Linked DNA regions of Diceros bicornis minor. The protein of the gene in region 2 interacts with the protein of the main gene of each other region in a pairwise test. Links are inferred from orthologs where the notes say so. Each region holds a gene or a part of one and is shown on either strand. Other genes may lie near its edges. The genes, in order: DZIP1L, CBY2, C20H19orf44 and PLEKHN1.

What was found.
Region 1: the proteins of CBY2 (region 2) and DZIP1L interact in binary tests that used the Homo sapiens proteins (3 or more experiments, as listed by UniProt). The two-hybrid records come from large-scale screens. The link is inferred for Diceros bicornis minor from reciprocal best matches to the Homo sapiens genes CBY2 and DZIP1L.
Region 3: the proteins of CBY2 (region 2) and C20H19orf44 interact in binary tests that used the Homo sapiens proteins (3 or more experiments, as listed by UniProt). The two-hybrid records come from large-scale screens. The link is inferred for Diceros bicornis minor from reciprocal best matches to the Homo sapiens genes CBY2 and C19orf44.
Region 4: the proteins of CBY2 (region 2) and PLEKHN1 interact in binary tests that used the Homo sapiens proteins (3 or more experiments, as listed by UniProt). The two-hybrid records come from large-scale screens. The link is inferred for Diceros bicornis minor from reciprocal best matches to the Homo sapiens genes CBY2 and PLEKHN1.

Annotation. Positions count from the first base shown.
Region 1 is NC_080741.1:15,059,989-15,067,047, forward strand, and holds the start of DZIP1L (cilium assembly protein DZIP1L), read left to right. Parts: upstream 1-4,051; 5' UTR 4,052-4,257; intron 4,258-4,809; exon of another isoform or gene 4,810-5,831; intron 5,832-6,571; coding exon 6,572-6,649; exon of another isoform or gene 6,650-6,714; intron 6,715-7,059. UniProt on the Homo sapiens protein: Involved in primary cilium formation. Probably acts as a transition zone protein required for localization of PKD1/PC1 and PKD2/PC2 to the ciliary membrane.
Region 2 is NC_080748.1:31,138,758-31,146,034, forward strand, and holds the start of CBY2 (protein chibby homolog 2), read right to left. Parts: upstream 3,014-7,277; 5' UTR 2,881-3,013; coding exon 2,794-2,880; intron 1-2,793.
Region 3 is NC_080759.1:4,664,195-4,671,328, forward strand, and holds the start of C20H19orf44 (uncharacterized protein C19orf44 homolog), read left to right. Parts: upstream 1-4,125; 5' UTR 4,126-4,136; coding exon 4,137-4,207; intron 4,208-4,257; exon of another isoform or gene 4,258-5,021; intron 5,022-7,134. Other genes in the region: CALR3 (calreticulin-3), read right to left, coding at 1,106-1,309, 3,495-3,596, 3,774-3,864.
Region 4 is NC_080752.1:21,948,021-21,954,898, forward strand, and holds the start of PLEKHN1 (pleckstrin homology domain-containing family N member 1), read left to right. Parts: upstream 1-3,871; 5' UTR 3,872-4,714; coding exon 4,715-4,797; intron 4,798-4,895; coding exon 4,896-4,995; intron 4,996-6,878. Other genes in the region: KLHL17 (kelch-like protein 17), read left to right, coding at 1-47, 490-606, 822-1,035, 1,328-1,472, 1,557-1,724, 2,108-2,196, 2,293-2,366, 2,558-2,739 and 1 more. UniProt on the Homo sapiens protein: Controls the stability of the leptin mRNA harboring an AU-rich element (ARE) in its 3' UTR, in cooperation with the RNA stabilizer ELAVL1.

The DNA.
Region 1 (7,059 bases), on a different chromosome or scaffold from region 2:
CCTCAGCATGGCTGGCGGAGCGGTGCGTCAGTGCGCGCCCAGGATCCGAACCGGGCCACCAGTAGCGGAGCGTGTGCACTTAACCGCTAAGCCACGGGGCCAGCCCTGAATGTCACATTTCTTTCTGCTGGGCTGTGATTATATGAATTCAGTATTGATAATTTGATATTTATAGAAAGGTTTAACTGTCACTAAAATGTTTTTGGTTAATAAAATGTAGGAAATAAATTAATAATGTATTACTTAATAAATGTAGTTTGTTTAGTAGAAAAGAATATTTCAAAACATGGTGATGAGGGGTATTGGGCAAAGTAAGGAGTAGGGAGTGGTAGAAGTGTGAGCCTGGATTCCTTCTGGCCTTCTATGAGTCCATGCTGCATATTGATGTCATGATACATTTTGAAAATAAACCATGATGGTGTTTTCCCCATATTAATTTTTTTTCCAAATCCCACACTCATTCTTAGAGTTTCAAACGAGATTGTATGGAGCAAAAAAATGGTGTAGGGTGCTTCATTGTAGGATATATCATAAGCTATTTAATCAATACCCAATTGGTGGACATTTAAGTTGGTTCTAGTTTTAATAGTGCATGTAATTCTGTAGCAAAAGTCTCGATGACCACATTTTTGAGGACTTTAGATTTTGATATGTGTTGCCAAATTGTTTTCAAAAAAGCCTGTTTGAAATTGTGCATTTCCCATATTTCACCAATGCCAAAAATCTATTTAACTTTGACCAATATAATAGTTTTAAAAATGTATCTCATTGTCATGTTAATTTCACTGAAGGTTAGTGATTCACATGTTTATTTGGTAATATATATTTTCTTATTCTGTGAATTGCCTAATATCTTTTGTCCACTTTTCTATTGGGTTGTTTTTCTGTATCTTATTGATATGTAGCCACTTTTTGTGTATCAAAGACACAAACATTTTATTATTTTGTTGCAATTTTTCAGTGTGTCCTAGCCCACCAGGCCTTGAGTTTGTTCCCAGACTCAGAGAGCAGGTCCTGGTTAGGCTGACTCTGCATTTTCATTTTGCAGGGAAGGAGAGCTTTTTCCTGAGAAAGGTCTCTTCTGTAAGTGCACAGACTTCCTTCAAAGTGATTTTTCTCAAGGACTGGGCTAGAGTGTAGGCTCTGCCTAGGGAAAAGTTTCCCCCTCAGCTCCAGCCCATTTTTGACATGTGAGACCACAGGCCTTCTGTTGCCAGAGGCTCAGGTTTTTCAAAATAAACCAGCAAACCAGATTTTTATGTAAAACCCCCCTCTGACTATATGCCTGTCTGTCTATCTATGTATCAATGCTGTGAAAACCCAATAATACACCTTTGACCTAAAATCACCTCAAGGACCATTAGCAGCCAGCATCCCAGCGTTGGGGACCTGCCCCATACACCTCAGGTGCCCTTCAGGAAAGTGGGATCTGGAGCTGGTTTCCAAGGTGTGATGCCAGCAGTTGACAGCAGAGGGCACTCCTATTGTGGGCTGCCTAGAATCTAAGTCCACCATCAATCAGCACACTGGTCTCACTGTTTTCCTGACACATCCCTAAGTGTAGGAAGGAGACCAGCTGTGACGGTGTCTGTGCTGGGTCAGAGAGCGGGTGTCTGGCAGTGGCCTGAGGAAGGGGTGAGGGGCTACAGGGCAAGATGGAAACTGCGGATATTGGGAACCCACCCTCCTGCCCTCCCATCCAAAAGATATGGCCCAGCTGTTCTGGGTGAAAGGAATGTCCCCTAGACTAGCCATCTAGGGCCAGTCTGCTTTGGCCTGTTGCTGTGTCATGGACTATACACCTGTCCCCACTGGTGCCAAATCTCTGTTGTGGCAGAAGTGGCACAGCAGAGGGTGACAGCTTCCCATTGCTGAGTGATTTAGTCCTCCATAAACTCTTGGTATCCTCGGGCCCTAGAACAGAGCCCGGCACACAGTAGGCCCTCAGTAACCCTTGGCTGTGTTGAATGTTGAACTGTGGCCCAAAAACGGAAGGGTGTGAGGGCTCCATGCATGGGAGGTCTTGGTTGGCCAAAGATGGAGTCTTTAGCTTTTGGTGTTATCGACAAGGTGGACCTGGGTGCATGTCAAGTCCACTTTCTCACATCCACCCTGGAAAGAGGGTACCCCATTTACATATGGGGAAATTGAGGCGAGTGGAAATGACACAGACAAAAGCACACAGGTACCCTCAGAGCTACTTTCTGCACACTTAAGGACACAGTGGGAAGAGAGCTGAGAAGTATGTGCTCCAAGCCCCCACAGATTTCACACTTGACTGAACTTGGGAGGACGCACTGCTGACCGCTAAGCCCTGGGCTGAGCCTGCAGACGCTTGAGCTCATTTGTTTCTCATAATGACCCTGCTAGCTAGAGCTGATTTTTTCCATTTTATGGAGAGGTTAAGTGACTTTCCCAGAGTTATGTAGCTTGGGAGTGTGGAATGTAAGTACGTCTTTGAGTCCAGAGCCTGGACTCTTCTCTCCCCTCTAGTGAGCAGCAGGAACCCCTACACTGAAGAGGGTGCCCTGACCAGGAGAGGTGAGGAGGAGCAAGATTCCCCATCAGAGTAGATGGCTCACCAATATCCCTACTTTGTTCTGATCCCTGCCCAAGCCACTTTTATTTTAAATTTAAAAAATTATGGTAAAATATACATATCATAAAATTTACCATTTCAACTGTTTTCAAGTGTACAATCCAGTGGCATTAAATACATTCGCACTGTTGTACAACCAACACCACTATCCATCTCTAGAATTTTTTCACCATCCCAAACTGAAGCTCTGTGCCCATTAAACAACAACTTTCTATTCCCTAACCGTCCTGTCCTGTCCTGTCCCCCTGCTCCCTCCTGCCCCCAGTAACCACTATTCTACTTTCTGGAATATCTCTATGAATTTGACTATTGTAGGTGCCTCGTGTAAGAGGAAACATATAATATTTGTCCTTTTGCATCTGGCTTACTTCACTTAGCATAATATTTTCAAGGTTCATTCATGTTGTAGCAAGTATCAGAATTTCATTCCTTTTTTAAGGCTCAATAATATTTCATTGTATGTATGTACCACATTTTGTTCATCCATTCCTATGTTGGTGGACACTTAGGTTGGATTGTTTCCACCTTTTGGCTATTGTGAATAATGCTGTTATGAACATGTGTGTACAAATATCTGAGTCCCTGCTTTCAATTCTTTTGAGTATATACCCAGAAATGGAACTGCTGGATCATATGGTAATTCTATGTTTAAATTTTTGAGGAACAGCCTTTCTCTTTTCCACAGCAGCTGTACCATTTGTATTCCCACCAGCAATGTACATGGGTTCCAATTTCTCCACATCTTTACCAACACTTGTTCCCAGCCACTTTCGCTTTGGCTGCCCCAAGATACAGAGTTTGGCAGATTGAGGCTGGGGTTGGAGAAAGACTTAAAAAAATTCTCAGAAATCTGAGTCTAACTAAAGCAACGACTGGCTGTAGGAAGGGATCAGGGACTGATTATCAGGAAAGAATTCTTTGGTCCTGGGTTTCACAGCTGGATCCACAGGGCAAGCCTGAAGGTTGGGGGCTAGGGGGCTGGTTACCATCTGACCAGGCCTGGGACTCACTCAAAGGACTAGCGTCTGGCAGGATCAGAAACCCAAGAAGGTCCCTTTAGTTTAAGGCGGGTGGGCTGGGCTGTCTGCCCGGAAGGCTGCAGCTTCCCCCAGCTTTCAGCAGGCCAGCGGTTGAACCGGGGGCAGTGTGTGTGTGGTGTGTGTGTGTGTGTGTGTGTAGACAGAACCCCGTCCAGCCTCCCTGGGCTCCACGCGGCCCGCCTCTCAGCAAGGCCTAGGAGCCATTCACTTGGATCCGGGATTTTCCTAACGGATTAAACGTGGCATTCCCTCCTCCTCCCTCAATAACAGGCCTAAAAATAGCTCCTCCCAGGGGGCTGGGGAGAGGCTCCACCCTCCCTGGGGTGGGGTGGGGCTGCTGTCGTGGGAGCGGGAGGCGTCGGAGACCCCAGGCCCGGAGCTGCGGGCATCTCTCGCCCCGGCCCCCAGGTCGGCAGCGCCGGGTGGGCGGGCCGGCTGGGTCCCCCGCCCCCCACAGCGCCGGGGCCGCTCGAGGCTGAGGGCGCATCCCGGCCCGCGTGGCGGCGAGGATTCCGGGAAGGGCCGGGGCGCGGGAGCGAGCCGCCAGGCTGGGCCGGGCGAGAAGGGGAGCCGGCGCCTCGGGACCTCTGCCCGCTGCCCGGGCTCCGGGACCCCCAGGTGAGCCGGACCGCTGGGAAAACTATGTCAAGAATTCGGGCCGGGAGGGGCGCGGGTGGGGCGCGTCCGTGCAGTCCGATGGACCCGTTGATCCGTGCCAGGAGCCGCGGGAGGTTAAACATTAGCGGCTCCAGCCCGGGAGCTGCGGGCGCTGCGCCCCGGCTCGGCCTCCAGACGCGCCGCTTCCTGCGCCTCGGCTCGGCCCGCCACCCCCAGCTCCCTCGGCCTGCGCTGGACCGCGGTACCCCGGGAGGGGAGCAGCAATGACTGAACCCCCAGGACTGGGCCTCGCTGGCAAGACGGCCTTGGATTTCTACTTTTTGGAAAAAGTAAAATGATCTGGGGCGCTTGATGCTCTGATTCTGCAGATAAAGGGGATCTTTTAGTAATGAGATGATTTAAAAACACACACATCGTTATCCCTAGTTCCTTCTTGCACTCCTGGGCTGGAGTTGAGCAGGAGGCGGCGATGGTGTTTGCGTTTTGCGGTGGCTGCAGGTAGACGTCACGGGAGACCTGCTTTGTACAGGCCAGGAGGGGGTCTGGAGGGCCTGGGCAGGGGCTGCCGCTCACCCAGCACTCCTTGGGGCCGAGGCCTGCCTGCTGGGTGGGTGGTCATCCTCCTCAGTCTCAGTCCCTAACGCCTCCTCCTGGAGCTGAGGACTGGCCAGTGAGAACAACCCCACCTAGAGAAGGTGGGTCCTCCAGTCAAGTGGTTGATAAGTGGTCATTCATCTGTCTTGTCAGCACCAAGGGTCTGGAGACATCTCCCTCGTGTGGAAATATTTTTGGATACCGTCCAACATGATAAAATGGTCCCAGGATGTTATACGCTTCAGGTTGGAAACAGAAACCTGAATTCACTTGTGCAACATAACTGGGTTCTGCCACAGAGGTGGGATTGGGTGAAAAGACTTGTTGCTCAACTGAAACTGACAGGAGCAGAGAAGGGGACAGCTTGGTGGGCTGTTCTGGACCTCCTCGTGGGCCCCTTGCAGGAGAGCTGGTCCTGGTTGGCAGGGGTAACCACCTGCAGTGCCACCTGTCACGAGGCCTTGCACCTGTAGGGAGGGTTTTTGTGGGGGTCTGATGGCCCAGGCACTGCAGAGGGAGAAACTCTACCAAGAAGCAGTGACTCCTCCGTAGGAAAGAAAACACCAGTATATTCTAAGCTGGTTTTCTTTTAGATGTGAAAAGCAGTGTTGGTTTTTGACCATTATCACCTGGGAAGATAGGTCATATCAGTATGTAGTCTTCTCGAAAATACTTCTGAGCAATGTCAGTCAAATCCCCACTCCCAATTTTTTATTTTGAAGAAAATCCTTTTGTGGCAATAACTTAAAATAGGCTCCTGACAAAACCGTGAATGATTTCTTTTAAAAATATCTCCTTCAAGGTGCTGGGAATGGAGGCCAGCTGTAGGGGAGAGCTGTGTGCCTGGTGGCATGGATCTCTCTCTCGCTGCTTGATGGTTCTGGGAGTGGGTGCAGCCTGCATGGAACGCAAGAGTGGAAAGGGGGACTCCTTTCTTTGGAAAACAACAGAATCAGAGAAGAAACCTAAGGCGTGTAACGGTAGGGCTCCAGGAGAGGGCCCGGGTCACTCATCTCCGTTGGGGTCTCTAGTGTTCCCTTGCCTAGTGAGTGTGCACAGCCTGTTTGCAAACTATGTGAAGGTCTCCTTGGCAGCCACTACAATTAGCACTAATGACACGCCTGAGCTCCCTGGGCAGGCCCGGCTGCAGTTAGCTCAGAGCCAGGGCGGGCTGGTAAATGATTGCCTGGCAGCCACCTTGGAAGCTTGGCTCCTCCAAGTGCTCCTCTTGGCTGCATTCTTGAGGAAGCAGAAGAGACAGTAAGGTGGCAGCAGTGGTGGTGTAGTCTAGCTGTCAAGTTATATTAAATCAGTCAGAGTTTTATTAAAAAAATCAGCTGTTGGGTTGATTTCGTGGAAGTTATCTGACAGATTATAGGTGGGCAGGTTTCAGAAGAACCATAAAGTCTCCAGGAATTGTCTCACAGTGGATGGCTGCCTTGCGGGGTGGTGAATGCCCCATCACTGGGAGTGTGCAAGGCACGGGTGGTAGACGGGCTTTCTTTCTTGGCTGTGATTGCCCAGGGAGAAACCATCTCTTCAACAATGAAGTGAGTTTGGAATGCTGGCATAAATATCATTCTTTTGGTTCCCACTAATTTGTGACATTGCTCGAGGATTGGGAAGTTTCTGAGGACTCCATCAAAACATCTAGAGATGGTTAACACAGCTCCAGATTTCCTGACAGTGAGTCATTTCTGCCTTGTGTTTCTATTCCCAGATGTGGGAAAAGCAGTCTGCTGATAATTCGGTCTGGAGAAGCGCGGTGTTCCTGCCCCCTGGGGCGTGTGGTTTCCAGGTAATCTGCAGCACTTGCATTTGGCTTGTCTTCTGCCCATCCCAGCCGGGACCCACGCCGTGGAGGTGAGTGGTGTTTGGCTAAGCTCTGCTGAGATACAGGGGGAGTTAGGGACTCCAGCGCTGACCCTGTTGTGATTTGCTGAAAACTCTTTTAGTCCTTGAAGTTTGGTCAAGAAATCTCAGGTACTGTAATTTCCATAATGGGAAATAATTTACGTATCGTCATTGTCATCATTAGGAGGTGGTTTGGCATGATTCAAAAGCTTTGGAGTCTGACAGAACTTGATTGAATCTTGGCTTCGTTACTTAGTAGCTGAGTGACTTGGGGCAGGTCCCTTAGCTTTTCTGAGCCTCAGTTTCTACACTTGTCAGATGAGACAAATCATAGCTACATACAAGACTAGGAAC
Region 2 (7,277 bases):
TGGATGCTGTGTTGAGCATAGTTGTAGGGGAACAAAGCACATAAGTAGAGAGATCAATTAAGAAGCCTGTCAAAGTCTCCAGACAAGAGAAGGTGGTGAGAAATGACCAGATTCTGGATGTGTGTTAAAGGCAGAGGCAACAGGATCTGAGAACAGGTTACATGCGAGGTGAGAGAGAAAGAGAGCAGTCCAGATGGTTCTGAGATGCTTGGCTGAGCAGTGGAGTTTACTGAAACGACCAAGACTGAGGGAGGAGCAGATCGTGGGAGAAGATCAGGAGTTTGATGTTGGCCATGTTAAACAGAATACGCCTAGGGATACCCTAGCAGAAATGTCAAGTCAAGCAGGTGGTCTGGGTTTCTTGTGAATGCTTACAGAAAGGACGTGGAATGGTAAAGTGAACAAGGGCTTCAACCATTATTTTTGCCAAAAGTACAGAAACATTTGTTTTATGACCATTTTTATATCAATCGGCAATAAAAATCAAGGGCGTACTCTTCAATCATAGCTAAGTGAAGGTACTTCTGGAAGCAGCCAAGTTGGTGTAGCAAAGGTCCTAAAAGATGTTGCCCTCAGGAATCTAACTTAGAACAAGGATGGAGCTTACCAAAGCTGGAGGAATCTGGATCAGCTCACACAGACCTCTGTCTCTCTCTCTCAACTGTGATTTCAGATTTGCCTTTGGCAAGAGTGAGCTCTTTGAATGTGCTTATTCTCTGGGGTAGAAGGTTAGGTGGCAAGGTTGACATTTTGCTATGAAAAGCAAAAAAAGAGACTGATAAATTCTCACCAAGATCAAGGCCCATCTCATTCTCACTTGAAGGCGGGTCACTGGGATACCTGAAAGACCTACTAGAATTTTTCTTTAAAAAGAGCTGTGAATTCACTCAAATGGGCAGATGAATCCCAAGCTGCGACTTCAAAATGATAAGCTGATGCTTAGCAACAATTTGGAATTATTCAAGTTAAGATGTTGTGTTTTCCTGACAAAAGGGTGGATCTCAGAGAGTGGCTTCTACAGACAGATATAAGTTAATCCTTTCCCCATGCAAATAATAAATGTGTCTATAGTTCCTCCAGGCCATCCCAGTCCAGAGGGAAAAAAAGTGTGCAACTGTCAGAAATGTAGCACAACTATCAAAAGTATCTATCAGCAACATAAATAGGGAAACTTACATCACAGTTGAGTTTTGCCTCTGAAAGTGTAAAAATCACAGCCTTGTTAAATTCTTTGAAACAAGGGACTTTGTCTTCTTCAATCTATATCCCCAGAACCTCCTAGAACAATGCTAGCACATAATAGGCATTCAATAAAATACTGACAAAGGGATGAATCAATCAACAGCAAGAAATAATAAAAACAAAACCTATGAGCACCATCTTGTGGAAGGCCTTACCATGACACCATCCAAGATGCCTGTCACCAGGCTGAAGAATGGACACTGAAATTTGTGTGACAGAGCCTTACCGGCCAGGGACTGTGGGGAACAGCAGGCTAAGAAACTTATCTTGAAGCTGTGTTTGCAAACCAAGTACACTTTTTAGTTAGATTCAGGTGAGGTTGCTGGAGATGATGGGGGCTACAAAAGTCCCCCCAAGCCAGCCCTTGGCAGTGTCCCTGAGTATAATTGAGAGGTGTGTAGATCCCAGAAGTAGTCTTTGACCAGTCCCAGCAAAAATGGTTGTAACAACCTAGCCTCAAATTCTTCCTTTGTGCTTCAAGAAATCCTTGGGAACCAACAATCCCAAGAGCTCTTCGGACACCAGGTAGCATCCTCTGTCTTTCTGCTTCTGCTACACCCCTCCCCAACTCATTGAGGCTCCTACTGTCGCCCTGTGATACTCATATGGACTTGGCCTCTCTTCTGTTTTCCTCCAACTTTCTCCACGTTGGAGTAGGAAGGGAGAGAGGCAGAAATAGTTATCTGGTCACCTTCCATTTGCTCATCTCCTACAGGACCACCAAGCAGAGGTGGAACCACCAAGAACCACAGAGGTTCTCTGCGTCACATGCCTCTCCCACTGGAGTCCCCTTTTCTGTCATTCCCACCCCCTTCCCAAGAGCCTGGCACAGGCCACGGAGAGACAATATGAAGAAGCCCAGTAACACACACTGCTGGTGTGCATAGGGTACTCACGACTCTTCAGGTTTTGTGGAGACCTGGAGCTTATACAATTTGGACTCTCTTCGAGAAAAAGAATAAAATATTACAAATACAAATTTAGGTGCAAAAGTGAATAAGCTATTTAGAATGTGAGAAGAAATCACAGCAAATCACTGGCACCTCAAAGATCCAAGTCCTTTTCTTCTGAACTCTGACAACTGAGCAGAAATGCTTACACAGAAATGGATTGCAACCCAGCCGCCTCACCCGACCTGGGCCACTCTGCAACCCTCAACAAGTCCACTCAGAGTGGCCACGGCATGTGAACTTCATCGGCTTCCTCCAACCCTTGACCCCAGATCAAGCCTCTGCACGTGGACTGTCCCCTCAGGGCAGCTCCTTGCCCCCGCCCCCCGACAGTCCTCCAGGCTGCTTAGGGGTCTTTGTCCTGGGAACCAGCCCAAGTGAGTCCACTCAGGGTGCCTCAGGGGAATACCCGCCCTTCTCCCGGCCAGCACACCCTGCAGCCCACAACCTGACCGAGTTAGAGAGTCTCAGCTCTAGGGAGTCGCAGGCCCTGTCTCCATCTCAGCAACCCCTCACAAGCTCGCGCTGGGGCCCGGGATTGGGGAAAGCTGACGCGGCATGATTCTGGAAACAGAAAAATAAAGCTATAAAATTTACATACCATTAAATAAATAATAAAATCAAATAAAACTCCACCAGTCTTTGCCGCGCCTCCTCTGCCCCGGAGCACGGTGTGGATTAGCAGCATGGCCGGCGCCAGCCGACACCCAGTACTAGCGGTCTGCCGTCCACCGTCCCCATTCGGGGGAACACCTGATGCACGTGGCCATGACGCAAATAATGAAAACTTTCCGGCCAGCCACGCACGCTTGGCCCAGCATTTCCGCCGCGACGACGGGGGCTGGGAAAGGGAAGCCGGGGGCAGGTCCAGAGGCTTGGAACCCCGGTACGCCTTAGAAGGGCGCGGGGGAGGGAGAGGGGCGCCGTTCCCATGGCAACTGAGAGCTGAAACACACGAGTGCAGCCTGGGAGACGGCGCTGGAGCTGCGCCGCCGTCGGCGCGGGTAAGGGCTGCCGACCTTAGCCGCCCGTGCTCCGGGAGACCCGCTCCTCCTCCTCCGGCCCCCGCCAGGCAGGAGGGAGGGGGAGCTGCGTCCAGAGTCTGGGGAACAAAGAAGCGTCACCTCGGAATTCTTTGTCTCTCTCCGCATTCTCTGCCCCTCCCTCCTTTGGCCCTCCTGTTCCCTGCTGTGACCGCGCTTCTACGCTTTGTGAAGGGCGGTGTTGGGCCCTGACACTTCTGCAAATAAAGGAGGACTGGGTCCTTAGAACCCTGGCCCTGAGTTTAAGGAAACATTATGGGTGTGGACGGTGTAATTTCTTCCTTTTCAGCCTGCATAGTCCAGTCAACTAGGCAGGAAAAACAATTCACCGCATCCAAAATTCCATCCCTGTGCACAACCAGTTCCTGTGAGCCAAAGCAAATCAGTTTCCCCTGTCATCCCACCCACCCCTGTCCCCCCCGACCTTAAAATGAGAGAGAAGCAGTGGTCCTAAACTTCCAGGGAGAAGGTGAGGAGGGGCCAGTGGCTGGTCCTCCACAGATGTTCTGTGCTGAGTGGCTGCTCAAGGTCACCCTCCTTGAAAGTTCAAATCTGAATACATTTGAAATTCCATTTATAAAAAAGGCCTTAGGGAATTGTGTTTTAATGAGTGCACTGGGGTGTCCAAACTGCTAAAAACTGCACTGACTGGTCTAAGGGAGGTCAACAGAACTTTTTGGCTTCAGTGTTGCCCCCTGGCGTTTTTTAATGTGGATCTGGATCAGCGTGGGCATGGCGCCATGGAACTTGCCCAAGTAGGCCATCAGTTGTTCCCCCAAGAGGGAAGGCAGCTGCCTTCAGCCAAGAAGCCTGCCAGTTAGTTAGAGAGGTTATAAACAGCTACTGAGGACCATACGGCCACAAGACGACCTCGCGTTTGCAGAGCCCTCTAGAACACCCTGGATCCTTTACAGAAATGAGACTTCTCCCCTTGCTCCAGCCACGGTTTCCAAGCATCTACTGGCAGCAACTGAGCTACACCCAAAGGCGCTATGGCTCACCCCATTCTCTTCATCAGCTTCAACTTTGCCTTCTGAGCCCACTCACAACTCATCTCTTGGTTGTCCCTCCACAGCAGGAGAGAAAGTTAGATGGATGGGGGCCTGAAAAGTCCAGACCGAAAACTTGATGTGAGGTCAGTCTCCTATGTGCCCTTTCTTCCCATGGATCATCCATTCAGTCCACAAACTTCTGTGGAAATCCTGCACATGCCAGGCGTTGTGTGAGGCTGCCGTCTCATGGGTGAGGCAGGCATGCAAACAAATGTGAACAGTGCAGTAAGAGAAGGGCATGAGAGAGCTGTGGGAAAAAGAGGATAGACCTTCCAGAAGAGCGTGCACGTCTTCACAGAGGAGGTGACTTTGAGTTGGGTTTTAAAGAATGAACACGCTTGCTTTAAAATAAGAAAATTTGAGAGTGAGGCTGGGACCCCAAAAAGAAATCTCCCTCTGGAAGAATTGCTGGAAATGTATACTGCATTCTCCAGAAAATAAAGCAGGACTGTGAATATCTTGGAGTAGAAAACCGAGAGAAGACGGAAAAAGGGCCAGGAGGACTGCTCAGCAGACAGAGCCCTCGGCCCCAGCTCTGAGGAACTGGAAATGCCCAACCTGACTAGAGCTAGTCCATGACTGGCCCAGAGCCCCTGCCTTTTTCTAAGTTGACGCTTAATGTTAAATAATGTAACACTGTTAACAGGGCCTCCTTCTAGGCACATCGAGGATTAATAGGAAAGACGTCAGCCCTACAGGTCGAGTTTTAAATAAGCTCGCCTGTGCTAGAACCAAGTTTCTCTCCAGTCTGCTATTGGAAGGAACACATACAACTATCTACCAAAGCTTGAGGCTTCTCTTGCACCTTGAGACAGGGTGAAGCCTTGCCCTCCCATCTCTGCTGCTGTAGTCGGGGCTGATGTGTCCTGTTAGGTAGCGCCTCAGTAGCAAATTCCTCACCCTTCGCAGTCCTCAGCCAGGAGTCCTCAACCCAGCACCTGCTGGTCTCCTCCTAGATCTTAGGGGTTTAGTTGGCCTCTTCACTTCCGGGTTGTGTAGCTCCAAGTCTCTTAGTCTAGAAGCATAAGCCTACATTCTTCCTGTCCCACCAAAAATAGGAGGTGCTGGTTTAATAACAGAGTTTATTTAGTTTTTCATATTTAATCCCCCCAAACTCCAAAATGTGGAGCCGGGCATCATGCCGTTTTAGACTGGTGCCTTTGCCTTTTAGAAGAAAGGGATGCTCAGGCAGCACAGCCCAAGTCCTGAGCCTGCCTCTCAGCTCCAAATCCGTCCAAGATCCCCAGGCCTATTTTCACCAGTAGTTGTGATAAACTTCAGCTTTATGTTGGGTCACAGCTTCAAGCCACGCTTTTGGAGCTCAGCTATATGAGTGTGGTTTGCACCCGCCCATGGCCATGCACTCAGTGCCCCAGGAGTTACACCTGACCATGTTCCCTGATGCACTGTCTAAGGAAATAAGCACTAGCAGCACTCCTCACCCGGGTTATAATTTTCTGCCCTCCTGACAGCAAGTGGAGCTCCTCAGCCCTAACCAAATCAGTCGGTGCAACCAGCTTTCTATGGGGTTCAGGGATTCTAGGAAGCGCTGAGCAGAGATTCAGGGACAGCTCCCAGGTGGCACCTGGCACTGGCCCAGAACCCACTAATTCCCAGGACTCTGTAGCCTCTTGGCTGCGGAGGTTTCTTTCCTTAGGAGGGCCTGGGGATATCCCTCTTTGAATAAGACATGGGTCCAACATGGGATAATGGGTCTACCAAGGCCACCTATTCTCTGTCCTACAAAATTCCTAACTCCTGGAAATTTGCAGACTCCAGGCACCATCCTGGGCTCTGTGATGTGAGCAAATGAGCCATTCGGCCTGGACACTGAGGACAGCCTCTAAATGACCACATGATTATGCTTGGAAGAACCCCATGAGCAGTCGTAACAAAAAATCCCTTTGCTCTTGGTCTTACCAGCCTTCCCAATGACTAATTGGGCATTTTCAGGTCGTAAATGACCCCCTTCCTTTCTCATTCTGTCCCTCTCTGGTCTCTAATTGAAATCTAGAATGCTCGGTGCTTCTCCAGTTTGCCGTGTCAAAACTTAGACCCATGAGCCAAGGCAGCTGAACTTGATTCTTTAGGGAGGTCAGGTGGGGGTTGGGGGCCCCACTGGTCGGGCAGGTAGGAGATAGGAGAAAAGGCTGTACCACCAGACAGTAATAGCCTAGCCCCCTCCGTAAATAAGCTCCCCTTACCCTCATCCTCTACACAGAATTTTCTTTCCATTTCCTTATGGTGGCTAAAGCCTGTCCCCCACCCCAGCCCTGGGACCCCTCTGGCTAGCATTTATCTACATGGAGACTGCCCATTTCTCTCATGGGCCCCACACCCCAGAAGCCAGAGGGTGGCATCCTCCTAGCTTCCTATTTTCTCCCCTTACAGATAATGCTCTTCCAACTCATGTTAAAATCTTCCTCTTTCTTTCATGACGTAATCACACTATACCATATTTTAATTCGTTTTTCTGTCTCCCTGCTTAAGCAAGATGCTTTCTTGAGGTCTGTAGGTGTGCCTTACGTGATCTTGCAGCCCCAGTGCCTGACAGTGTCTGTTACATAGAAAGTCCTCCATGGATGTCTGCAGAAGAAAGAGGAAAAGAAGAAAGGAAAATGGGATAGGAAGGAAGACTTGGAAGCTTATCATTCTCAGTAGCACATTTAAAAGGTCTGGTTAACACACTGAATGATAGAATCGGATTCACAAACATTTGAGCAGCCTGGAAGGGTGAGACAAAGCTAGCAAGATGAAATTTAATACTGATCCATATAAATACCTGTATCAGGTTCAAAAAATAAACTTAAGTTTAGCACCAAAAAGAAGAGAAAAAACAGGTAAAGAACTTAAAAGCTACCTTTAAACATTTGCAGCCCGCTGCGGAAGAAATTTGTTGTATGTAGCTCCAGAGAGCAGACCTGGGAGGCTGGTCGAAAGCCCAGGGGAAAAAGATTTATAGGCAAAATCTGTGTAATTTGTTACATGCT
Region 3 (7,134 bases), on a different chromosome or scaffold from region 2:
AGTCACTTCAACTGGGGGTGGGGGGTGCTTACAACAATGGCTGCCTCTTTGGCTCTACCTTTGTGATATGAGTCAGTAATCAGCACTCAGATGCCCAATATTTGGTGGACAGGGTCCTTTTTGCCTACCCTGGCTCCCAGAAGCTGTGTGTAAGCTGCTCCAGGAACATGTGCACAGCTGTCGGCCATATGGCTGGGGGTGGAGGATGGGTAGGTGCTACTGTGCTAAGAGCTGAAATTGACCAAAATTAACCCTCCTAGTCTTCTCCTGGAAGCTGCGATCCTTCCACAGACTCCAGAGTTCCAAAACAGTTATATTAGGCAGATTCTGCCAGTGCAGTTGATGTCCAGGTGGGGAGACAGGTTCCTGGTGCTTCCTCCTCTGCCATCTTCCCAGAATCCTCTTCATTATTAAGCTTTTTGAACGCACACACTTCAGGTATGTGTAGTTCCTATGGCCCAGTGTGGTCCCTTCCCAATTCCAGCACAAATTTTTATCAATTACCTCTGGTGTCAGAAGACACTTAATATGTTCTCAGGGTCAGGAAGCTTTTTCTGTAAGGGGCCAGGCAGTAAATATTTTTGGCTTTGTGGGCCATGTGGTCTCTGTTACAACTACTCAACTCCGCCCTTGCTGCTTGAAAGCAGCCATGGACAAGATATAAATGAACAAAGCTAGGCTGCATTCCAATACGACTTCATTTGTGGACACTAAAATTTGAGTTTCATGTAATTTTCATGTGTCACAAAATATCGTTATTTTGATTTTTTTCAATCATTCAAAAATGTTAAAGCCCATTCTCAACTCCGGGGCCTCAACAAACACAGGCCATAGACTGATCCAGCCCACGGCTAAGGGCTGTTAACTCCTGATATAGTCAAAATACTTGGGGCTACATCAATGTTGAATAAATAGCTTTTTCAAAAGCACAACAGAATGGTATAGTTGGCTTTTTATAGTATTAATTAGGTTTAACAGTGCTAAAAACCTTTAGTCAGATATACTCAATACCAATACTTTAGCAAAGTCTTAGTCTAAGGATCTTATGAGGTGGAAGGGTTTTCAAAGTCACCAGAAATGGTTGTGTTGTACTATCTAAACTTACCAAACATAATATAGTACTGGGATTTTCCATTCAGGTTCTTCTGATCTATGTCTGCAGGGAAGACCTTTATGTAGCCTCCTCCGCAGTCCATCTTCTGCTCGTGTTTCACTGTGTACTGAATGACCAGAGTCTTCCCTTTATTGCTAAAGGGTTTGAACCGTGCAGAGATGGCGTAGAATCGGCCATTTTGAGTGGTTTGCAGACCTTTAAACAAAAAGTACTCATGAAGGATTAGGAATGACACAGCGCTCAGTGACGCAGGCAATTAAATGGTTGTCCTTCTGCCACCCCCAGTAATTACTTCCTAACCATTAAGGACCATCCAGAGCCTACAGCACATTTGTACAATAATATGCAACAGGCATGATATACCACTGTTATGTCTTAAGTTACACAAACATTTTAGCTCTAAATGACAAATACGCAATCTAATTATGGATAAAAGATTAATTTTGCTTCCATTCATCTTCCGAGGGGTGGGTATGTACAAGGAAGCCTGTGTAACACCTGAATTAAAAAAGGGAGCATTCTACTTCTTTTCCTCAATTCTCGTCTTAAAACAGCTACTTCAGAGACACAACAGCAGACGGAGCACAGAGCACTGATCTGCAAGACAGTGCTTCACGGCACTGGCTGAGCTGGCCCAGAGACTCATCTGTGTGACGGCTCTTTTTACGAAGATACCATCCTTTTATCATGCAAATCAGATTATATTTGTTTTACAAGTTTAGGCATTCACTTCAAGACCAAAACCCCCTTTCTCAGTAGCCACTAGGCTCTGTACCAAATCCTTATCTTATCCTGGAGTCTGCCAAACCTGAAAACAGAGCCATTCTTATCATAACCTACCCTTCCTTGCTCCACACTCTGGCCCCCATAGCTGCCTGTGGTGAGAGCCGTAAAAACGAACTTGGCCTTTTGTGTCAATATGTCCAAGCCTGACCTCATGGCTGACTCCCCACTACCACACCTCTCCTTCTGCTTCCTCCATCCTTCTCCCACCTTTCCCTTTCTCAGGGAATTTGTAGCCCCTCCCCTTCCCCTTCCTCCTATCCTCCAGGCAATTCCTAAAGCCACACTGCCTCCCTTTGTGTCCCGCTACCCTCCTCAGCCAACCACATCATCTCTCACCACCTCCATCTCTGCCTGACTAAACTCTATCTTCCCGTCCACGACTTCTGTGTCATGGCCCGGGAGACCATGATGCAAGGGGCCAAATTAACCAGTGTCCCCAAGGCCTTGCCTGTGTGTGCTATCAGGAGACGCATGCTGGGCTGAATGAACGCACAGAACCTCAGGATTCCAGATTGGAGGGAGGAAAAACACTGTGGTAAATACCCAAATGACTCTAAGTGGAAACCCCTGTCCATGGACAAGCTTCATGGAACAACCTGTGTATTTTCACTCCATTTTTCTCATATAGCCTGAATTTTGACCAACTTTGTGGGCCAACATGTAACTTACAAAACAACGTATATACAATAGAAAACCAGAGGCTGCCACACAGGGTAACAATGGAGTCACAGGGCCAAGATGGGGGTTGAGTGGAAGGTGGTAAAGAAGGAAATTTTTCATCCAAATCAGGGGCCAGTAAACTTCCTCTGCAAGGCCAGAGAGTAAATATTTTAGACTCTGTGGGCCATTTCGTCCGTCTCAACTACTTGATTCTGCCTTTACAGCATGAAAGCAGCCAACAGACTATATGTAATGAATGGGCATGGCTGTGCTTCACTAAACTTTATCCATGGACACAGAAACATATTTCATTGAATTTTATATAATTTTTACATGTCACAAAATACTATCTCCCTTTCGATCTTTTTCTCAACTATTAAAAATGTAATAACTATTCTCAGCTCCCTGGCTGTACAAAAACACACAGTAGACGAGCTGTAGTTTGTCCCCCTTTTATCACCAAATAGATGTTATCCTTGGGGCCAGGAGGCTACTGATTTGGGGGAGGGGGGCACCAGGTAGGCCTATACCTGGACTGAAAATGTCCCCTATCTCGACCCGGGTGTACAGTTGTAAACATTCATCCTGCTGTACCCTGAAGATCTGTGCATGTGACAGCATGTAACTTTTACCTCAATTTTTTTTTCTTTTTAACGTGAAAATAAGAATGAGAAGTATCTTCTAATCTTTTTCCCTCCGCAGGAAAAAGTTCCCTTGGGCCCTGAACTCATTTGACTAGTGCTTATAAAGCGGGTGATCTTGGGCTCATAAAGACAGGAGAGAGAAAAAAAATAACTCAAGACCCTACCTGTGCCTTTGTTTCCTTACCTGGGAAATGGGTGTAAGAGGGGTTAAGGGTGTGCCACATCTACCTTGCAAGGTTGCCATGGGGGGTTAACATTTAGCTCGATTTTCTCACGAATCCTACACTAACCTTTGTCTTTCTCTTTATGACCATAAAACTTCCCCGACGAGAGTCTAAAATGCCCAAATTGGGAGTCATTGGCGGACTGCACCCATCGGTTCCTCCAGCGCTCTGTGGGGGAAACAACACCGGTTAGGGCGGACACTGTTACTTGGGGTCATGGGGAGGGTGAGGGGCCTCGAGGCGTCGAAGATTCGCCACCACCGACCCCGCGGCGAAACGCTGGCGCCAATGGCGACTTAGGCCGTCCGCCGGACAGCTCGGTATGGGCTACCACGGGCGTTTCACCTCCGTCTAGAAACTCCTCCTGGAAGTAGACGGTGGCCACCGTCATTCGTAGTACGCAGACTGCCCAGAGCGGAACGCGAGCCGCGACCATGGCGACTGCACGGCGCTTCTTCTTATACCCGCCCCTTTGCTCCCGGTCTCAGTGGCGCTCCAGGCCTGTCCCGGAACTACAACTCCCGTCACGCCTCCCGATTATGACCTGAGGCACCATTGGTCCCCGGCGCGCAGTGCGCGCCGGGGCCGCCCCGGAACTACCACTCCCATGATGCCCCGCCCATGTGACTCGGGGCACTATTGGTCCTCGGGGCGCGGGGCGCGCCGGGAAATGTAGTCTTTTCCGCCTTAGCGCGGTTGCTGGAGGCAATGGTCCTCTCCTGGCCGGGTGCCGGACCGAGAGCGGCGGCAGCCTCCGCGGATGGACAGAGTGGGAGGAGGTTGGCGGGGTTGGCTGGGTGGCGGTCAGGTTTCGCGCTCGGGCTTGGGAGAGGAGTTGTGGGGAAACGGGGCGCGCTCGGCAGCTGGGCTGGGAGGGCGACGGGAGGGCGGCCACGCGCCTCACGCCTCAGTTTCCCCCTCTGGAGCCCACTCGGGAGCGTGGTCCGATGTGGGTCGCTCCAGGCCTGAGGGAAGAGCCCAACGGTCTGAGGGGCGCCAGTGCTTTCAAAGTTTGGTTATTTATTTTTAACAACTTTATTGAGTATTCATTTACATATCATACGATTCACCACTCGTTTTAAGTGTACAACTACGTTATTTTTAGTAAATTTATCAAGTGGTGCAACCATCACTACGATCCAGCTTTAAGATTTTTCCGTCAACCGAAGGAGATCCCTCTTGCCCCTTTGCAGTCCATCCCCCTCCCACCTCCAGCCCCAGGCAACCACGGATGTGCTTTCTGAGTCTAGATTTGCCTTTTCTGGACAATTATTATGAGTGGAATCGTCCGGTGTGTGTTTTTTGCATCTGGTTATTTTCGCTTAGTAGGATGTGTTTGAGATGGATGCATGTTGTGTGTGTGTGTGTCGGTGTTGTTCTCATCCATTCATTAGTTAATAAACATTTGGGTGGTTTCTACTTTTTGTCTTTTATGAATAATGACTTATGAACATTTGCATACATTTCAGTTATCTTGGGCTATGTGGGAGTGGAATTTCTGGATCACATGGTAACTATGTTTAACCTTTTGAGGAACTGCCAGACTGTTTTCCAAATCAGCAGCTGCACCATTTTACAACCCCCCAACAGTGTGTAAGCGTTCCAGTTTCTTCACGTGTTTGCCAGTGCTTGTTCTTATCTGTCTTTTTGATTATCGCCATCCTAGTGGTGTGAAGTGGGATCTCATGGTGGTTTTGGTTTGCATTTTCCTGATGGCTAGTGATGTTGAACATCTTTTCATGTGCTTATTGGCCATTTGTGTGTGTGTGTATATATATATATATATATTTTTTATTATTATTATTTTTTCCCCCCAAAGCCCCAGTAGATAGTTGTATGTCATAGTTGCACATCCTTCTAGTTGCTGTATGTGGGACGCGGCCTCAGCATGGCCGGAGAAGCGGTGCGTCGGTGCGCGCCCGGGATCCGAACCTGGGCCGCCTGCAGCGGAGCACGCGCACTTAACCACCAAGCCACGGGGCCGGCCCATGTATATATTTTTTTTGAGTGTGAAATACCTGTTCAGGTTTTTTGCCTATTGGTTTAGTTTTAGTTGTGTGTTTCTTAAACATATCTCTTTTTGTTGTGGTAAAATGTACATAGCATGAAATTTGCCATTTTAACCATTTTTCCATTAGTTTATTTTTAAACCTAGGGAAACTTTCAGAAGAACTAGATGCCAGAAAACCTGGTCTGCTGGTCAGGCCTCCCCTCTGACCCCCAGAATGGCCGAGGCTGAGTCGTCCCCTGAACTTTGGCTATAAAAATATTAGCAAAGATACCTGTTGACCTGGTTCTGGCCATCTCTGCTTCCCCTTCACTGCGTCATTCCAGGTGAAAGTTAGCCTCTTATGCAGGTAGTCCAAATACTACCGTTACTACTGTCTAAATTTTGCTGAGCCATACTGAACATAGGAATCCTATGAGGGAAATAGTTATTATTCCCTTTTTACAGATCAGCAAGCTGAGGCCTAGAAGGGTTAAGTAACTTGCCCAGGGTCACACGGACTAGGAATTCTGCACTGCTGCTGTTGGGTGTGGTTCTCCATTCACTGAGCCCTGTGGTCAGGCCTGTGCTGGGCACTCTTAGTACACAGGGTGGTTCAGGTGGGGACGAGTGAGCAAGCACAGTAGTCAGAGAAACAGACAGGAAAATAATAAAAATCATTCATTCTTGTACAGAGTCTTAGGGGCTGGGTTAAATGCATTTCCTTGCACAAAACATTTGAGTTCAGCTTTGAAGGGTGTATTTAAGATATAGAGGGCCAGCCCTGGTGGCCTAGTGGTTAAGTTCGGTAAGTTCGGTGTGCCCCACTTCGGCGTGCTCTGTTCGCTTCCAGGTGCAGACCTACACCACTCGTCTGTTAGTGGCTGTGCTGTGGTCACAGCTCACATAAAAGGAAAAAAAAAGAGTAAGATTGGCAACGGATGTTAGCTCAGGGTGAATCTTCCTCAGCAAAAATAAAAACATATAGGGTTGCCAGATTTAATGAATAAAAATATGGGACACCCAGTTGAATTTTGGATAAAGAACAAATAATTTTTTAGTATAAAAATATTTGGAACATATTATTTTTTAGTATAAAAATATTTGGGTCATCCTTATATTTTTAAAATTATTTGCTGTTTATCTGAAATTCAAATAACTGGGTGTCCTGTATTTAATCTGGCAATCCCAATAAGATTGTTTTCCAAGTGGGCAGGGATGGGAAAAAAGGCTTTTTCAGGTCTCACAGTGAATTTTTTTTTTTTTTTTGTGAGGAAGATCAGCCCTGAGCTAACATCCGTGCCAATCCTCTTTTTTTTGCTGAGGAAGACCGGCTCTGAGCTAACATCTATTGCCAATCCTCCTCCTTTTTTTTCCCCAAAGCCCCAGTAGATAGTTGTATGTCATAGCTGCACATCCTTCTAGTTGCTGTATGTGGGGTGTGGCCTCAGCATGGCCGGAGAAGCGGTGCGTCGGTGCGCGCCCGGGATCCGAACCCTGGCCGCCAGCAGCGGAGCGTGCACACTTAACCGCTAAGCCACTGGGCTGCCCCGTTTTTTTTTTTTTTTTTTAATAAAAGTAACACACGGCGGTGCTAAAACATTCCAACAGTGTGGAGAGGGGGCGTGGTCTGCATCTTGTCCTTTCTTCCTCTTCTGTTGTTCAGCTGGCAACATTGTTATGCACGCACATCTCCCTGGCTCCTTTCAGATGGCCGCA
Region 4 (6,878 bases), on a different chromosome or scaffold from region 2:
TGGATGTGGCCAAGACTGAGGAATTCATGCTGCTGCCGCTGAAACAGGTAATGCCAGCTAGAGTATAGCCTGGACCCTGACCCAGCCCTTGACCCCCAGCCCCCTTCCCCTGGGCTCTTAAGACTTGGCCCTTTGCTCCTCGGTTCTTATTCCCAGCCTCTGACCCATGTTCCAGCCCTACCATCCATTCTCTGGGCTCCTCCGCCCTTGCCCCATCTTTTGACTCCACCCAAGCCTTCACCTTTGATTCCTGACCCCATTCTGTTCTGAGTACACCTCTGCCTACCGTCCTCAGTTTCTCGTTCCACATGCCCAGGGCTACTCTGGACTAAATCCCTAGGAACCAGATCTGTGGCTCCTAACCCTGCTTGGTCCCTCCTCATAGGAACAGTGGGCCCCTCGTTGGACTCTCCCTCCCAGGCACCTTTAGGGCTCCATGGGCCCCCAAGGTCCTCCCCAAATCTCAGGTCTCAGGGTCCCCACCCGCAGGTGCTGGAACTGGTCTCTAGCGACAGCCTGAACGTGCCTTCAGAAGAGGACGTCTACCGTGCCGTCCTGAGCTGGGTCAAGCATGACGTGGACGCTCGGCGGCAGCATGTCCCTCGGGTGAGGCCAGGCCCTGGGTGGTCCCATGGTGTCCAGGAGGGGATGCAGTGGCCAAGGGCCTAGGTGTGTCTGGGCTCCTCTGTCCAGAGACTCCACTGGGTGGTATAGGCATGTGCCTAAAGAAAGGTTCAGGGTGTCTGAGGGTGGTCTCGGTGCCGGGGCCAAGTGTGCCCACACGTCCCACCTGCCACCTGACTGTGGCACCCCTACCCCAGCTGATGAAGTGTGTGCGCCTGCCCCTGCTGAGCCGGGACTTCCTGCTGGGCCACGTGGACGCCGAGAGCCTGGTGAGGCACCACCCTGACTGCAAGGACCTGCTCATCGAGGCCCTCAAGTTCCACCTGCTGCCCGAGCAGAGGGGCGTGCTGGGCACTAGCCGCACACGGCCCCGGCGCTGTGAGGGTGCTGGCCCCGTGCTCTTCGCTGTGGGTATGCCCACTTCTCCCGTCCCCTCCTGTCCAGCCCCCACGTCTCTGCCCTGCGTCTTCTCTCCGTGAGCCTAGCACAAGCTCCTCCACCCTGTGCTGGTCACGTCCTGCACCCACCCCACTCCTGCTCCTCTGTTCCTCCACGGAGGACCCTGTGTAGTGTGACCTACTCCCTAGTCCCTGTCCCCAACCGCTCTTGGAGTCCCCACACCTTCGACCTCGAGCTGTGCCAGAGCCCCCAGCCCATTGCCTCCCTGGGTCCGTTCTCCTGCCCTTCACCTTCTCTTGTCTAGGTGGTGGGAGCCTATTCGCCATCCACGGGGACTGTGAAGCATATGACACACGCAGTGACCGCTGGCACGTAGTGGCCTCCATGTCCACACGCCGGGCCCGAGTGGGCGTCGCAGCCGTCGGGAACCGGCTGTACGCTGTGGGCGGGTAAGTGTGGAGGACGCTCTCAGGGCAGGGGCTCGGCATATGCTCTCCAGGCCACTCCTGACCGGCAGCGGACCTCTCTCCTAGTTACGACGGGACTTCAGACCTGGCCACCGTAGAGTCGTACGACCCTGTCACCAACACTTGGCAGCCAGAGGTGTCCATGGGCACGAGGCGCAGCTGCCTGGGCGTGGCTGCCCTGCACGGGCTCCTGTATGCAGCTGGTGGCTACGATGGGGCCTCTTGCCTCAACAGGTAGTGGCTGGGGTCAGGGTTGGGTGGCCTTTTGGGGTTGGCTCCGCAGTAGGTACGGCTCCATCAGGACTGCAGAGGTCACGCTTGAGGGGAGCAAAGGGGGATTCCCCCTGACTGGAGTCACCAGGGTCCCCAGGCCTCCTCATATGTGCCAGCCCAGCTGCCCCGTTTTCCTCTCTGGGGTCCTTCCCACCAGTCCAGGGCTGGGCCCAGGTGGACAGTGCCTACCCAGCAGGCCCTGCTTCCTGTTCCAGGGAGACTCAGGTCAGTCTCCATGACTACCCAGCACAGGATTCTAGTCCTGCCATGGGGAGGACAGGTCCAGGGGCCAGGACAACCTTTCTGCCACTGCTCAAGGTCAGCGGCGGTCCTGATGCCCACAGTGCCGAGCGCTATGACCCCCTGATGGGAGCATGGACGTCTGTTGCCGCCATGAGTACCCGGAGACGATACGTGCGCGTGGCCATGCTCGGTGGGTGACAGGGCCTGCTTCATGTAGTGCCCACCCTTCCTGCCACCTGAGACCCTGTGCCAACAGGTGCACCATGGGTTTGTTGACTCTCTGCAGATGGGAACCTGTACGCCGTGGGTGGTTACGACAGCTCCTCACACCTGGCCACCGTGGAGAAGTATGAACCCCAGGTGCGAAATATGCCCCTGTCACGGTTATTCCCCAGAGCTGTTTGAGGTCATCACTTTGGCCACCCACGTCCCCTGAGGGTCAGCCTTTTACATCCCACCCCCAAGCACTCTGCCCTGGAGTAGGGGTCTGCACCATGGAGGTGGAGGGAGGTTGTGATGGGGCTGCCCCCATCCCATCCCGTCGACTGCAGGTGAACGCATGGACGCCCGTGGCCTCCATGCTGAGCCGGCGCAGTTCTGCGGGTGTGGCAGTGCTGGAGGGGGCCCTCTACGTGGCCGGTGGCAATGATGGCACCAGCTGCCTCAACTCGGTGGAGAGATACAGCCCCAAGGCCGGTGCCTGGGAGAGTGTGGCGCCCATGAACATCCGAAGGTGCACCAGCCCCACCTCGCTGGCCAGTCGTGTCCCCCTCGTGGTGTTCCCCTCCACACACTGACATACGTGCCCCACAGCCTCACCACTGTGGGGTGTGTCCACCCCTCCATCCCCTGCCCCCTGCCCACTACTCCCGGGCTCCCCCAGCTCCATGCCCCAACCCAACTCCAGAGATTCCTCCCATGGCCTGGGGGCCCCGCCCTGCCACTCAAGCCCACCACCCCCCTGCCCCCAGGAGCACGCACGACCTGGTGGCCATGGACGGCTGGCTGTACGCCGTGGGGGGCAACGACGGCAGCTCCAGTCTCAACTCCATTGAGAAGTACAACCCGAGGACCAACAAGTGGGTGGCCGCGTCCTGCATGTTCACGCGGCGCAGCAGCGTGGGCGTGGCGGTGCTTGAGCTGCTCAACTTCCCGCCACCCTCCTCGCCCACGCTGTCCGTGTCGTCCACCAGCCTCTGACCCGTGGCGCGGCCTGCACAGAGGCCAGCCCACAGCCTTCCACATGCCTTAAGCCCCCCGGGGCAGTCCCCCCGGGGGCGTCCTGCGCCGTCTGTCGCGTCTCTGCGTCAAGGCCACCGTTTGTGTTCATTCCTCAGAGTTAGTTTCTGTGTGTGCAGTTTATTTATTTACTCATTTATTTATTCATTATTTATTGACCGACGAGCAGCGCTGCAGCTGCCAGTTTATATGTTTATTCAAAGTGTCCTGTGTCTCTGGGACCAAGCTGCCCTCCAGGGTGTCCTCCCACCCCAACGGGGGCACAGGGAGCGATGTGGGTGGACATTTGGGCCAACTCCGACTCTGCAGGCCTGGAGGGACCAAGGAGCAGATGCAGAGCAGCCAGGGTTGGTGGGGGGCTTTCTGAGCGGAGGCAGACCCCCCAGCCTGCACTTTGCATACCGCCCTTTCCTTGCCCAGCCAGGCACGCTCCCGGGGAGGGCACAAATTGGGCTTCCGTCCTGTGAGGGTGGTGTCTTTTCTGGATTCTGCACTGAGCTGGGCACACATGTGCCCCAGACTACACAGAGCAATATGAGCTGACTTGAACAATAAACATGTGTTTTGGGCTCTTTGGGCCTGAGGCTGAGTGTCCATCTCCGCCTTTCAGGGTGCTGTCTTTGTTGATCGGGAGGGCCCCGGGGTGGGTCTGCAGCTGGGCTGAGGCGCTGCATTGGCATCTGGGGGTTTTGAGGCAGCACCGTGATGTCCAGGTGGGGCAGGGCTGGTGATGTCCTGGATGAGCGCCCACCGTGAGCATGAGCCTGGTCCTGAGAGGCTCCTGTGTCCCCTGGCTCACCTCAGGCTCTGGGGAGGGTGGCGTGCATGGCATTCTTCCCATTTCACCGTGACAGCCTGGGTGTACCTGGGAGGGTTGTGGTCTCCTTCCTGATTCTGGGTAAGCCTCGGGGACCCTGACGTTGGCTCAGGGTGAGGATTGGGCCGGGGCGGGAAAGGAGCCTGGGAGAGGGTTCTGGCCCCTTCCCTGATGTTGCAAACTCCCGCTTCTGAGGCTGAGAGCAAGGACACACCCCCTTACAGTCACTGCTGACTCAGAGACGGCATTTAGGTGGAAACAGGATGTGCGCTCACGCAGGTGAGGCCTGGAAGGTGGTCCCTGGACTCAGGGAGCTCCAGCCCCAGGCACCCCCAGGCCGAGTGCAGGCAGGCCACGCACTCCCAGGCTAGGTGTTCAAGGCCCTTCCCGTACAGACTGGCAGCTGAGTTGGGGGCTCTTGACTGGGCTGAGAGGCAGGCTGGACTGCACGTGTGAAAGACTCAGGAGAGCACTGAACGGCTCTGCTCAGGTAGGGGCCAGGTTCCTCCCAGAAAGTCTCCACCCTTCCCCAGGTCTTGGATACAGGGCGAGATTTCCCGGAGCCCCGCCCCAGGAGGTGGGGGCAGGAGGCTTAGGACAGAGGAACCCAGACGTCGACCTGCTGTGCTCGGGGCAGCAGTCACCGCCACCCATGGGAAACAGCCACTGCGTCCCTCAGGCGCCTCGGAGGCTCCGGGCCTCCCTCTCCAGAAAGCCCTCGCTGAAGGGAAATAGGTGAGGGGGGCAGGAGCACGGCCTCGGCCTCTGGGTCACAGGGTCGCCCTCAACCTGCCTTGGGGGCCAGGCTGTGAGCCCCCCTCCCTTATCCCCAGAGAGGATGGTGCGAGGAAGCTGGCTGGTCTGTTTGGCACCGAGGCGGGTCCCGACGGGGACACCACTGCCGACAAGATCTTCTACTACATCCCTGGGACGGTGAGCGGGCGGGTGGGCGTGTCCCAGCTGGAGCGAGGCCTCGAGGGGGTGCGGTGGGGGTCATCGGTATGTGACTGCGTGTGCGTGTCCTATCTTGCCTTGGCTCAGGGTCTTCCCCTGGCAGCCCAGGGGGAGTCAAACCCAGAACAAGGTGAGGAAGTAGACACTGCCCCACCCTGGGGAGCTCATCTGGCCGAAAGTCTGAGCAGAGAGTGAAACTGAGACCCGACACTGAGTCAGTGGGGTGAGCGAGCACTGGGCAGGAGCGGGCCGCGGGCGGGGCCTCCAGGAGCCTCTGCTGCACCAGAGGGGGCGCCATGGCCAGGCCATGCATTCAGAGCCATCTCTGTGGGGCCCCAGCCCTGGTGTCTGCCCACCCCCCAGGAACAGGCACGTTCAAGTTGGACCAAGCTCACGTACTTCAGTGTTGCTGCGTGGGCACCCGTGTCGTGCTGGCAGTGTAGCTGTGAACCTTCACCCCCCGTTGTCACTCTGAGGGTGAGGGGCTTCACGTGAACAGTGAGCCAGCCTCTCACCTACTCCAGGCCTCAGTTTCTGCCAGGGAGTGTCTTCTCCACATCCATCATGCCTCATCTCACAGCACCCCCGTCTCCCCTTGCCAAGGCCACGTGGCAAGGACGTGGCTCCGAGCCCATGCTAGGCCACCTCTGAGCTGAATACCACCCCACCCACCCTGCCCCCACTCCTGTGGGGCTAAGGGTTAGCTGAGGGGGAGAGACAACCAGCCCTTTCCCCAACATGGCTGCACTGGGTTGAGGTGAGGCTCTGCTATGTGCGGAGACACCAGGATGTGAGCAAAATGATCTCGCAGCTTCTTACCCCAGGAGCATCAGGGAGAGGACAGGGAAGGAGGGACGGCTGTGACTCTGTGCCAGGAGCTCCAGCCCTGCACTCCTCGGTCCTCACACCATCCCCTCGAGGCCTAGCAGCTAGTGTGGGCTTCAGAGCCCACCTTCCCAATGTGTTGCTGTCAGGCTGGGAAGGGCTGGCGGGCCTGTCCCTTCTCCTGGCCTCTGAGGTCCCAGGGCTCCCTGTGAGCAAACGCTGTCTTCAGAAACCGTGCTGCCTCAGAGACGTGGACAGGGCACTTCCGTCCAGGGCCTGGCCTGGCCGGGATGAGGTCCTTCATGTGTCTGCATCCCAGACCTCAAGTCCCTCTGTCCAGGCCCAGGACACATCATGTGACCCTGGTGGAGTTCCATGAGGCATGGTGGTCCTGGTGGTCCTCTCTTGCCAGGACATGGTGGCTGGAGAGGGGACCAGGCATGTTGAACTTTGAGAGGGAGGGGTCAGGGGAGGAGCCAGTTTTCATTGGGACCTGCCCTGTGGTGGGTTCTGCCCCCACACATGAGCCGGCCCTGCCTCAGCTGTGAGCGGGCTCCTCCCTGGACCCTAAGGCTGGGTCTGGGCCACAGGGCCAGCTGCATGGCCTGTCCTGCTCCGTGGCCTATTTTTCGTGGTCCCATCCCAGCGTCATTACCGGCTCTGGGTGTGGGTACCGGAGGCCCCACCCAGAGGCAGGGAGGCCGGGACGCTGTGTGTCTGTCTGTTCACATTCCTGGGCTTGCCCAAGGGGCGGCTCAGCTTGGCCAGGGCACAGCAGCCTGAGAGGCAGCCCCTGCCAGCTCCCACAGGGAGGGTGGCCCCCTCCCCAACTCAGCCCTGAGACCCTAGCCCTCAGGTCCTCAGCCCCAGGTCAGCACCTGTCTCTCTCCGACTCCAATCTGATGACCAAGCCCCTCTGTATAAAGGGTTCTCTGTGCCAGGGCTGGCCAGGTGTTTGTGAGCGCTGATCCTCCCTCCCTTCAGCAGATATCCCAGGCCTGTCCTAGGCTCTGGGGATACAGCGGTGGGCGAAACAG